Astyanax mexicanus: one gene and its partners. The protein of the gene in region 2 binds, or shares a complex with, the protein of the main gene of each other region. Links are inferred from orthologs where the notes say so. Each region holds a gene or a part of one and is shown on either strand. Other genes may lie near its edges.

The links.
Region 1: nsmce1 (region 2) and nsmce4a share a complex: the UniProt entries of both Homo sapiens proteins name them as parts of the SMC5-SMC6 complex. The link is inferred for Astyanax mexicanus from reciprocal best matches to the Homo sapiens genes NSMCE1 and NSMCE4A.
Region 3: nsmce1 (region 2) and nsmce2 share a complex: the UniProt entries of both Homo sapiens proteins name them as parts of the SMC5-SMC6 complex. The link is inferred for Astyanax mexicanus from reciprocal best matches to the Homo sapiens genes NSMCE1 and NSMCE2.

The regions. Positions count from the first base shown.
Region 1 is NC_064414.1:35,024,814-35,028,570, forward strand, and holds the start of nsmce4a (non-structural maintenance of chromosomes element 4 homolog A), read right to left. Parts: upstream 2,657-3,757; 5' UTR 2,396-2,656; intron 668-2,395; exon of another isoform or gene 632-667; 5' UTR 609-631; coding exon 392-608; intron 263-391; coding exon 182-262; intron 53-181; coding exon 1-52. UniProt on the Homo sapiens protein: Component of the SMC5-SMC6 complex, a complex involved in DNA double-strand breaks by homologous recombination. The complex may promote sister chromatid homologous recombination by recruiting the SMC1-SMC3 cohesin complex to double-strand breaks.
Region 2 is NC_064410.1:58,237,733-58,241,489, forward strand, and holds the start of nsmce1 (non-structural maintenance of chromosomes element 1 homolog), read left to right. Parts: upstream 1-895; 5' UTR 896-977; intron 978-1,898; 5' UTR 1,899-1,922; coding exon 1,923-2,040; intron 2,041-3,276; coding exon 3,277-3,398; intron 3,399-3,480; coding exon 3,481-3,558; intron 3,559-3,757. UniProt on the Homo sapiens protein: RING-type zinc finger-containing E3 ubiquitin ligase that assembles with melanoma antigen protein (MAGE) to catalyze the direct transfer of ubiquitin from E2 ubiquitin-conjugating enzyme to a specific substrate.
Region 3 is NC_064413.1:4,744,814-4,748,570, forward strand, and holds the start of nsmce2 (E3 SUMO-protein ligase NSE2), read right to left. Parts: upstream 2,742-3,757; 5' UTR 2,394-2,741; coding exon 2,279-2,393; intron 1,543-2,278; coding exon 1,430-1,542; intron 1,341-1,429; coding exon 1,193-1,340; intron 519-1,192; coding exon 424-518; intron 1-423. UniProt on the Homo sapiens protein: E3 SUMO-protein ligase component of the SMC5-SMC6 complex, a complex involved in DNA double-strand break repair by homologous recombination. Is not be required for the stability of the complex.

The DNA of each region.
Region 1 (3,757 bases), on a different chromosome or scaffold from region 2:
GTGGCAAGAACCAGCAGCTGAGCATCCAAAGCAGCTTCTCGAGCTTGCCTGACTGAAAAGGAAACATACAAAAAAAATCAATACATTTACACACAAATAAAAGTCAGTTATGTCATAAACCTGCCGTCACAATATGTAGAACACACGGTTGGTCAATATAAAAAAAAAAATACGTATTTACCATTAGCAAACAGTTTGTTGGCTTCTTCTAACACATCAATCAGCTTATTGTTGGCAGGGTTCAACATGTCCTCACGATTTTCTGGGAACAACAGTCAGGCATGTTAGTACAAATGACTCAGACTAGATACACAGAAGTGTAAAAGTAGCAGCAAGTTGGCAACACTAAAAAGCACAGCTGTGTAGAAAAAAACACAATTGAGGTGCTCACGCTGGACAGAGTTGATGAGGTCCCTGTACTGGCTTCTGATCTCCCTCCGACGGGCCGGGTCATCATCTTCCTCATGGATCCCTGATGGACCAGCACCCTCATCCTCATCACCCGTGTCTGCTGCTCTCTCGGACCTGCTGCGTCCTCCTACTCCATTGGTATGTGCAGCAGACTCCTCCTGACTTCCTCTGCTCACTCTCCGCCTTGACTCAGACATCTCCCGACAGAGCGGTAGCGGTTCTGTATGTAATAACGGTGGTCAGATTCTTCAGTTGCCTAAATGAATGAACCAAAATAAATTCAATTAGCCTGCGTTTACATTACAAGCCACAAATCCTCCAATCCGATTTGCTCAGATGGGATTTGGCTATCTTGACGGTCCACATTCACAATTGTAAGTGACCTGTATCTGTGTGTAATCTGTGAACTAATCGGTCCCTCAAACGCCTCACATGCGCACATTGATACATATACAAATGTCGCATTCTTCACTAACAACAAAAAATTCATAATTGGAAGACAAATTGTTGCTTTATAAAGGTGAAATTTATGTGTTAGCTGCTTATAAGTGGAGGAAAAAAAACAGATCTGAGTCATATTGAGCAAAAAAAAATGATTTGAGTCACTTCAGCCTGGTAATGTGAATGAAGCCTAATTTAACAAATAGCACATTTAGACAACTCTCTCTAACTTAAGTTAAATGAACTAAATGTCATTCACTAAATTTAAAATAAATAATTCTAATAGTTCTAATGTTTCAGAAGCTATTCTGAGATCTTATGAGTTATAAATTGTTGTTGTTTCATTTAAACCTTCTGTTATGTTCATTTGCCAGGGACAGCAATGGTGTTCCCAGGTCAATTTGACCCGGTGCATGCATGTTTAATTATCCAAAAGATGTCGGAAAACTCCTAACAAGCAGTGTACATATTTAATTACTAACTCTATTACTAATTATTCTATCAATATTTAGTGCCTCTATCAGGTAATGGTTTACTTAGGATAATTCACTCGTTTTTTTTTTTTTTAAGTTTCACTTTTGAAAGACCAACATATACAATTCATAGTTTTACATAACACTGAAACATTACACTTCAATTTTGTTTTAGTTTTTGGTTTTTGCAGGGGGTGGTTGCAAATGTGAGAGATGAATCATTTTCATATTAACTTTTATGTTGAATACACTAATTATAGCAAGCAGAAAAAGTTTCATACTAAAAAATACTTTTAACTAGGGGTGGGTGATATGGCTCTAAAATAATATAATGATATTTCACAGTATTTCTGTGATAACTATACTCTTGGCGATATGACAAAACATCGAAATACAAAAAAATTATTTTCAAAATTATACTACTGCAACAAAATTAAAATTACATTTTATTATTGCATACGATATGACTTGGCACACCCCTAACTGAGATATTTAAAAATACAAGAATTTTATCAGATTTGTAACAGAAGTCAATGATCCACAATGTCATGATACTAACAATAATGCACTCCAGATATCTCCATATTTCCAGGATTAAAGTTAAATAAATGATATTGGACAGATATAATCTGTCTCTAGTAGATCTATAATGGGAAACTATATATTTTTGGAATGTCACAATATTCGAAAAATGTCTGCGGTATTATTGCGTACGACACGATATCGCACACCCCTACTTGTAACTATTTTTTCTAGATCTTCAAACTTTAAAACGGGTCTATTTGACCCGTAGCATAACAGAAGGGTTAACGCTGTGTTACATCAAGTATTTTACCTTAAAATATTAGTTAGCTAGCTAACCGTCATGTTCCCACAATAATAATAAAAAAAAACATAAATGAGCTGATCATGTATAAATTTATCTAAATCAATTTTAAATGTGGCATCAATATTCAGAAATAGCTGTGGGATAAATGGTTAGCAGTTAACAGCCTTCACAATTAAAGAGCATTTAGAACAGTAGTTAAATAGCTAGTTGTTAGCTGTTTAGCTAGCTGGCGATACATTACCCGCTGCTGCTGTTATTAGTGAGCTGAACTGGTGCCGCAGAGATTCTGCAGCTCCCGCGCGGCTAGTTAACACTAGCGCTTCACTAGTGACTCAGACACCACTAAACACATCTGGAAACACATATCGCTAACATTAAATCCATCTACTTTTTAAGATTATAGTTAATAAACAGCTATAAAGTGAGGCTGCTTCCAGAATCCAGCTCTAAGCACTGAGCTAGTTGTGTCTTCGCGGTAAAATAAACACGGAAGTCGGTTTCGTTCCGGGTTTCGTGCAGCGTTCAAGACCCTCTGGAGTTTGTTTCAGAATGTTTACCAAATGTATTATACTAATTCTCTTTGAATCCCTTTATTTATTTATTTATTTAATTATTTATTTATTGTTTTATTTTCGCGTATTTTTTGTTGTTGGATATATTACAACAATATAAATCTTACTTATGTGCTTTTTATAAATGTATATAAGTTATATAGAGAGAGCATGTTTCCACGAGGCTGAAGTTGGTTTGATATTCGCAGCTCCAGATTCGTTTGGCTCGATATTCGCAGCCTCGTATTCCCCGGCTGAAGTTGGTTTGATATTCGCAGCTGCCGCTTCACTGAACCACCGTGAACTAAAGGGAGCGTTCACAAACACCCGCTGTTTATATTAAACACCTCACAGATCAACACTGAAGGAGATAGAATGAAGAAAAGCAGTACATCTGTTTATTAACAATGTAAATATACAATATATTATTAAATATAATTTTGTATATTGTAAAATATTTATTTTAATTACTGAATTTATAATTATATATTACAATAAATAATTAAATATATGATTAATAAAATTATATTTTAAAAGCCATTGCGCTCAAAAAATATGAGGCAGATGTTCAAGTGTGATTTTGAAGAACTTTTTCATGTTGGGCCAGACCAAATACACATGATCTGAAGAGTACTAGTCTTCTACTTTAAGGAAAACCTGGAAGTAGCCTGGCCCGAGCTGATTTTATACTTTAAAATGAACTGGCAACATAGCATACCGATCCATAATGCACAATTTTTTTTATGAAAAGCTGATGTTCCAGTGTGATTTTGAAGGACTTTTTAACCTTGGGCCAGACCAAATACACATGATCTGAAGAGTACTAGTCTTCTTCTTTAAGGAAAACCTGGAAGTAGCCTGGCCCGAGCTGATTTTATACTTTAAAATGAACTGGCAAACTTTGAAAGACTTTTTCATCTTGGGCCAGAACACATACACATCAGATGAAGAGAACTACTCTCCCACTTTGAGGAAAACCTGGAATTAGCCTGGCCCGAGCTGATTTTATACTTTAAAATGAACTGGCAACATAGCATACCAATCCATAATGC
Region 2 (3,757 bases):
TTGATCCCGAAGGAAATTTAGGCAGGCGGCGGGGGCGGGGCAGGAGAAAAGGCTGATTGGGCTGTGTGCCTCTGATATGTGCCTCTGATATGACCGCAATAAAAGCATTTTTTTAAAGGTTAGAAAAGGTTTATAAAAAGTTTTAGGCAGGACTAGATATTAGGCTATTAATGGGAAAAAATATGGTTTAGTGCCTCTTTAAAGGTCCACATTTATTTAAAAAAATTAATACATTATTATTATTATTATTATTATTATTATTATTATTATTATTATTATTATTAATATTATTGTATATTTGTTGTTATTATTATTATTATTATTATTATTTTATTTTATTTTATTTTATTTTAAACTTATTTATATTTTTGCCAGTATTACAATAAGTATGATATTAAATCATTAATGAATCAAGGACTAATGCTATAATCTAAGATTATAGATAAAGTGGCGCTGATTTGAGCCGGGGCTAGGACTAAAATGTTCTCCGGTGTTCTGTCGAGTTGTGCTACCCATTGGTTTGTGCTACTTAGCGGCTCTGCGCATGCGTTAAACTCTCATGTTTACTATTTTTATATGTTTTTCCTGATCATTTAGTTTTTTTTTCTCGGGTGCACTGTACAATCTGGACTTGCTGGCATCGTTTGTTTGAATGTTACAACCATGTAAAAAATATAAGAAAAAACTATACAAACGTTTGGTTTCTAATGACAAAATATATTTCCTAAATATCCTGATACAGCGATAAGCTGTTCAAATATCATACCGAGACTTCTACTGCGAGCATGATCTAATATTTTATAATATTTAGCATTTTACCTTTAAGTACACACTAGGGTAGCATAGTTTGACCAGTTTGCTAAAATCGACAGAACACCGGTCATATTTCTGCTCCCGGAGCGGAAGGAGCGGAAGTGTTTGAGCTGCTGCAGGTTCGCGGCGGCAGATTGAAAGCAGTTTACAAAGTCCTGCTGCAGGTAAACTGGGGGAACTGGGGCTGTGTGAGTAGATTAGAGTGACTTAGAGAATAGTGTGAGAGGCTGTATTAAGAGAATAAAGTGTGTAAAATATGCGGGTGGAAAGTTTATTAGCTATATTATGGGCGTAGACAGCCTTTTTACTGCATTAGCTTAGCCTAGCCTGGCTTAGCTTAGCTACAGCACTGTTAGCCTGAGATAGTAGCTTAGCTTAGCTAGTTTAGGATATTTACTGGAACACTGGTGATAACACACAGCAAAAACTATGTAATGATAGTAAATATAATAATATAGTAATTATTGTTGTTAATTACTGTAATTAAACTGGTTGTTTGTAAAATTGTCCTTTATCAGCTGCATGGCGTTCACTGACTTGCTTTAGCCCAACTTTTATGGAGGTGTTTGTTTGTGTCTGTTTTGTGTGTTTTGGGTGTGTGTGTTCAGTGTTTAGTGTGTTTTTTGTTTTATCTTCTGTGGTGTGTCTTTAGTGTTGTGTTTTTAGTGTGTGTTTAGTATATTGTGTGTGTGTGTTTAGTATTTTGTTTGTGTGTGTGCGTGTTTAGTATTGTGTGTGCGTGTTTAGTATTTTGTGTGTGTTTAGTATTTTGTGTGTGTGCGTGTTCAGTATTGTGTGTGTGTTTCTCCTATGAGAATTTGTATTTGGAAGTTTTAGTTTGATCACAGGTGGAGTTATGGAATTACCAAACTAGTGAAACTATATTAGTATTTTAATCTCGAGTAGCAGTACTTAGAAAACATGGATCTATTTACTTTAGTAAGGTACATGTGGTATTCTAAAACTGTAGTGTATCTTGAAAATCTAGTGATTATTTACTTTTATAAATATCTCTCAGTGTTACATGTAGATTTAGTTTATTTTTGCATTTGTAATCCTAAATGCTTTATTTTTTTCCATTTTAGGCAAAAAAAAAAAAAAGTTTCATAATGTCCCGACCAATGGGAGACAGCCATAAGCGGTTCCTGCAAACGTTAATGAGTAATGGGATCATCAGCAGCATCCAGGCCAAAGCACTTCATCGACATTGCTGTGAAACCCATGGAGGTTTGTAGCCTTTTAGTATTATTTAATAAGATCCACATACACAAAATAATCACATATTTTTTGTTCCCGATATTCTTATTGATTAAGTCCACATTGTTTTTCATTGTATGTTTAGTCAGGACAACATTGACACTTCCACATTTTAGGATTAATAAAGGGAACATAGGTCCAGACTTTTAACTGTCCAGGGATGAAACACTGGGAATTTTGATTAAAAAGCTAAAATACCCTGTCATAATGAAATGCTGAAGTAGACACACTGACAAACTAAATCTAAAATATATCCTCAGTTACTGGAAGCATAGTGTAATATAAAAAATATGAAAAGTAGATGTGTTATTAAGGATTAGAGTAGAAATGAAGCTTCTAGTACGTTTGAATTTAGTCATATGAATAAAAAAAACAAAACATATCATACATATGGACTAGAGGTGGGTGATATGGCCCTAACATAATATCAGAATATATATTTTTTTTATTTTTGATAATATTCTTGTCGATATGACACTGAATAAAAAAAAAATATATATATTTATAAAAAAGAATATACTAATGCAACAAGACGAGTTTTTTTACATTAAATAAAAACAAACAAAAACAATAATCTATAAATGTGTGTTCGTTTTGTAAACAGTAACTTGCCAAGACTCTGTTTTTTGTATAAAATAATAAGTGTAACAAAAACAAAGTAATGTTACAACAAAACATCTACTACAGAACTAAATTTCAGTAAATGTATTGCCTACATATAACTGCAAACAGGTAAATACAGTACATAGCAAAACAAATACAAACAAATCTGCATTCAAGAACACAGAAAAATAATAAATAATTTATTGCATCAAATATTTGGTAATATTATTGCATGTAATATGGTATGGCACACTGAGATGAACAATATTTAGAGGTAATTATGACTAAACAGACAAGTGAAAAAATGTATTTTAAAAATCTAATATTTATAAAAGTTTTTTTTAATTAAATAGAAATACTTATTCATACTTATTTATTAACCATCTAACAGTCATTGACTGGAAGAGTTTTCCCACTCCTCCATGCAGGATTATTTCAGCTTTGTGATGTCTGAGTGTTTTGCTGCATAGCCTGCTTTTAATCATCCCACAGCACCTCGTTAAGATTAAGATCAAGGCTTTTATTGGCCATTCCAGATCTTTTTATTACTTTGTAAATTTGCGTTTTTGTTTATGTATTTTTTTTTTTGGTGTTCCCCTGCAGCGCATTATTCAGCAGATAGACTGGATGAATTCATTGATGTCATCAATGCTAATCTCCAGCCGATGTTCATGTACATCAGGAAAGGCATGTCAGAAGAGGATGGAGTTCAGTATTACGCCTTGGTGAGTGATGTAGTGAAATATAGATGAGCAGCAGTGCATCAGTTCTAACAGATGTGTAATGCAGTGTTTCTTTTTTATTCAGGTGAACACTGCCGAAACTGACATAACAAGGATGTCCTCTGATTATGCTGATAACGAGCTGGAGCTGTTCAGGAAAACGGTAAATAATTAACTTCAGAGTTAATAGGCTTTCGCTTATACACTGATGTGCCAAGAGTCAAGAGACAGGAACTCTTTGAGTGTGCCATGACTTTTGCCATGTCCAATGGAAGCTAAAGTGTGTGGAGTATGCTATATTGAATATGGATATGATAGATTTTATTTTTGTTTTTTAATTATTACATAAATACTTTTCAATA
Region 3 (3,757 bases), on a different chromosome or scaffold from region 2:
GAATTTACTTAAATTACGTAATAAACAGACTTTGATTAAACCTTTGCATCCAACCACAGAGCTTAAACAAGATGCATTTATGGAAAATAAAAAAGAAATATGACCAAATTAACTAGGAAAAATAATGTGATTAATGCTAATACATTATTTTATCATTTAAAACCCCAGTAGTTGCGCAAAACACCCAAGAAAAAAAAAAAAGTATTTTGTTAAACTGCCATTTTTTTTAATCGCTGTGATTGAAGCACGCATTCACTGTGGCATTATTTCAATAAGCTTTATTAGTATTATTAATAATGTTAAAATGCTGTGGTATTGTTTCAGTATTGTTATTGAGATATTTAGGCAGGTATCATATCCAAAGTCAAAATGTTGGATTTTGAGACAACACTATTAATGTATCTGTTAAAAGCAAAAGTTTACCTGGGTAAGAGGACATGTGAAGTTTGTCTGGCTCTGTGTAACAGCAATGTCTTCATCCAGCTCCTCTTCAACATGGGCAGCCGCTGATTGGTTCACTAAAAAAACACACATGAGAACTGTTTAATTACCTTTTTATCTCAAACAACTGCTACCTAAATGAATCCGATTAATACAATAGTATAATAGTACAATAATACACTGCTGGCTAAACAAAAAAGTGGTATTAAGAAACTGGGTACCACTTTAAAATAAGACTACCTTCATAAAGGGTTTATAAATGGTTTACTATTCGTTTATTAATGGTTACTAATTAGGTTGAAAATGCCTTAAAAATCATTAATAATCAGTTATAACACATATACGTAGAAAAGGCAACAATACAGATGGCTGTGTAATATAGTTCACTATTTGGCAAACAACAGGTCACTGTCCTTTCTCTGTATGTGTTATAACTGATTATTAATGATTTTTAAAGCATTTACAACCTACTTAGTAACCATTAATAAACTAATTGTAAACCATTTATAAACCCTTTATAAAGGTAGTCTTATTTTAAAGTGGTACCAGAAACTGAAACCAGGTAGATGGGAATCATTAAAAACAAATAGTTGATTTTTAGTAACACTGTCATTTTGATTGTAGCTATTCTACCAATAAATGAAAGAGGAAGAGTTTTCCTACGACAGAGATCATCATTTATTGTTTTGAGTTTAATGAGTTGAAATCGCTGTACTGTGTTTGAGACAGGAAGAGACAGTGTGTACGATACCTTGTGCCAAAGATTTCCTGATGTTGTCTCTGAAAGCCACTACTTTGCTGTGTCTCTGAACGTCTGAATCCCTGTCCTTTAGTTCAGCAAAGCGATTCTTTACAGAGTTTAACAGCGAGAACATGGCCTGTGGAGGTTCTCGTCTCACCTGCAGACACAGGAGAAAATACAAGATGAATTAGAGGGATAGAAAAAAGTATATTAGAATTAGAATTGAAACGATCTAAAATTACTAACATGAGCTGTCGTCTGCTCAACAGATTCCACAAAACAGTTTATCTCTCTGTCCAGAGCAGCGCATTCTAACATCATCTGCTCCAATTTTCTTAAACTCGGACTGTCATCAGTGCCTGGAATAAAACAAATAAAAAGAATCATAGCAACACAGCATCTGAATCTACACACACTCTCAACAATTACAAGAAACATCAAGCATGTTTACAGTGCTGTAAACCATAAAGCTTCGCATTAAACCAGTAACTCGGTTAATCAAATTACTTTAGTAATAAACTCAGTATATGATGAGAAAAAAACGTACGGAATGGCATTATTAAAGTCGTAATATTTCGAGATTAAAGTCTTGATATTACGACTTTAACCTCATAACATTACAACTTTCATCTCCCAATATTACGACTAAACTCAGAATATTACGACTTAAATCTTGTAATATTACGGCTTTATTCTCGCAATAATTAACCTTACTTTAAGAAATTAAGGTCAGTCAATCTGAAACATTTCAAGAGCTCTTAAAGTATCCTCAAGTGCAGTCACCACAAAGACCATCAAAAACGTTATGATAAAACTGGCTCTCATCAGTAACGCCCCAGAAAAGGAAGAGCAAGAGTTACCTCTGTTGCACAGGAAAGTTCCAGTCACAGATAAGTGGGACCAAAATAGGTTTTATGGTTTGTTTAACACTTTTTACTCGTTTACTACACGACGTGTTCCTTTATAGTCTAAAATACTTTAACATTTATTTACAATGTAGGAAATATATAACTGTATGTATAAAAGGCTGTATTTGATTAAAGATTAGTTAGTTAATTAGTTAAGGTTAGATTTAGGTAAATAGCTGTACTGTACCTTGGGCTTCCACCAGATCCAGAGCGACATCTGACACGATGTCCATCCCTGTCCCAATATCCACCTGACATGTCTTCAGACTGGACAGCGCGGGCTGAACTGAACTCAACGACATAATTTAACGCTAACTGTTACCTCTGTGATTTCCGGCTACAGCGGACTGGTTAAGAAACTGAATTAATCGGAAAGTAAACCGGTTTGACCTGCGAGTGGGTAAAGCGTGTTTACAAGTTAGCTAGTTAGTTAGTTAGCATGTTAAGCTAACCGTAGTTAGATAATTTATCCGAAACAACCGGGTTCAGCCAACAAAACAAGCGTACACACACGTAGCTAAATATAGTATAATAGTGTTAAAGTTGTTAAAAGGTTTATAAAAACTAGCCCGACACAAATAACCAGTTTATTTTACTTCAGATAGCGACTCAAAAACAAATCAGGCTCCTGCAGCCCGCCTCAACTACTGCGAGTGACGTGAAGACAAAATAAAAGTCCCCCCCACTCTCTCTCTCTCTCTCTCTCTCTCTCTCGCTCTTTCTTTTTTTCTTTCTTTCTCTTTCTTCTCGCTCTACAAATATACAGTACCAGTCAAAGATTTTTTTCCTACTATGAAATAACACATAATGAATCGTGTAATTAAACCAACTAAAAATACTCTGAGAAGCACTTAGGCGGGCTCAACTAACAAACACTATTTAAAAAACAGTTTACTTCGATAATAAACTAGTAATATGACGAGAGAAAAAGACGTATGGAATGACATTATGAGATGGCATTAAAGTCTTAATAAACGTGTAATATTACAACATTATTCTCGTAATGTCACACCTTTATTCCTGTAATATTATGATAATATTTTTACTTTAATTTCGTAATGTGACTTAAATCTTGTAACGTTATGAAATTAAACTTGTAATGTCATGACTTTAATCTCGTAATATTACGACTTTATCCTCGTAATATTACAACTTTAATCTCATAATGTTATGACTTGAATATTGTAATATTATGCCTTTAATATCGTAATGTTATGACTTTAATCTCATAATGTAATGACTTTAATCTCGTAATGTAATGACTTTAATCTCATAATGTTTTGACTAATCTCGTAATGTTACGACTTTAATCTTGCATCATTTGTTAACCCTTTTTAAAGTTTATTACATTATTCCTCATGTGTTCTTTCGCGGTCTCGGGGCTTTTATTTTGACATGCACGCGCAGGAGACGCGGACAAATCGCAGCAAGAACCGTCATTTGGCGTCGCGGCCGCAGCCTATCGACTCCTGCGGGGCCACGTCATGTAAACGGAGTAAAAGCGCGTCCGACCGACACTCAACCAAAATAGAAGCAGCCGAACCGGGTTCACCCCGATCCGCCGCGATCCGCCGCGATCCGCAGAGCCGCAGCGCCGCGCTCAGGGCCCGGTGTAGCCGCAGGTTAGAGTACAGAGGAGCGGGGCTGAGGGCTCCGCAGCGCCGAG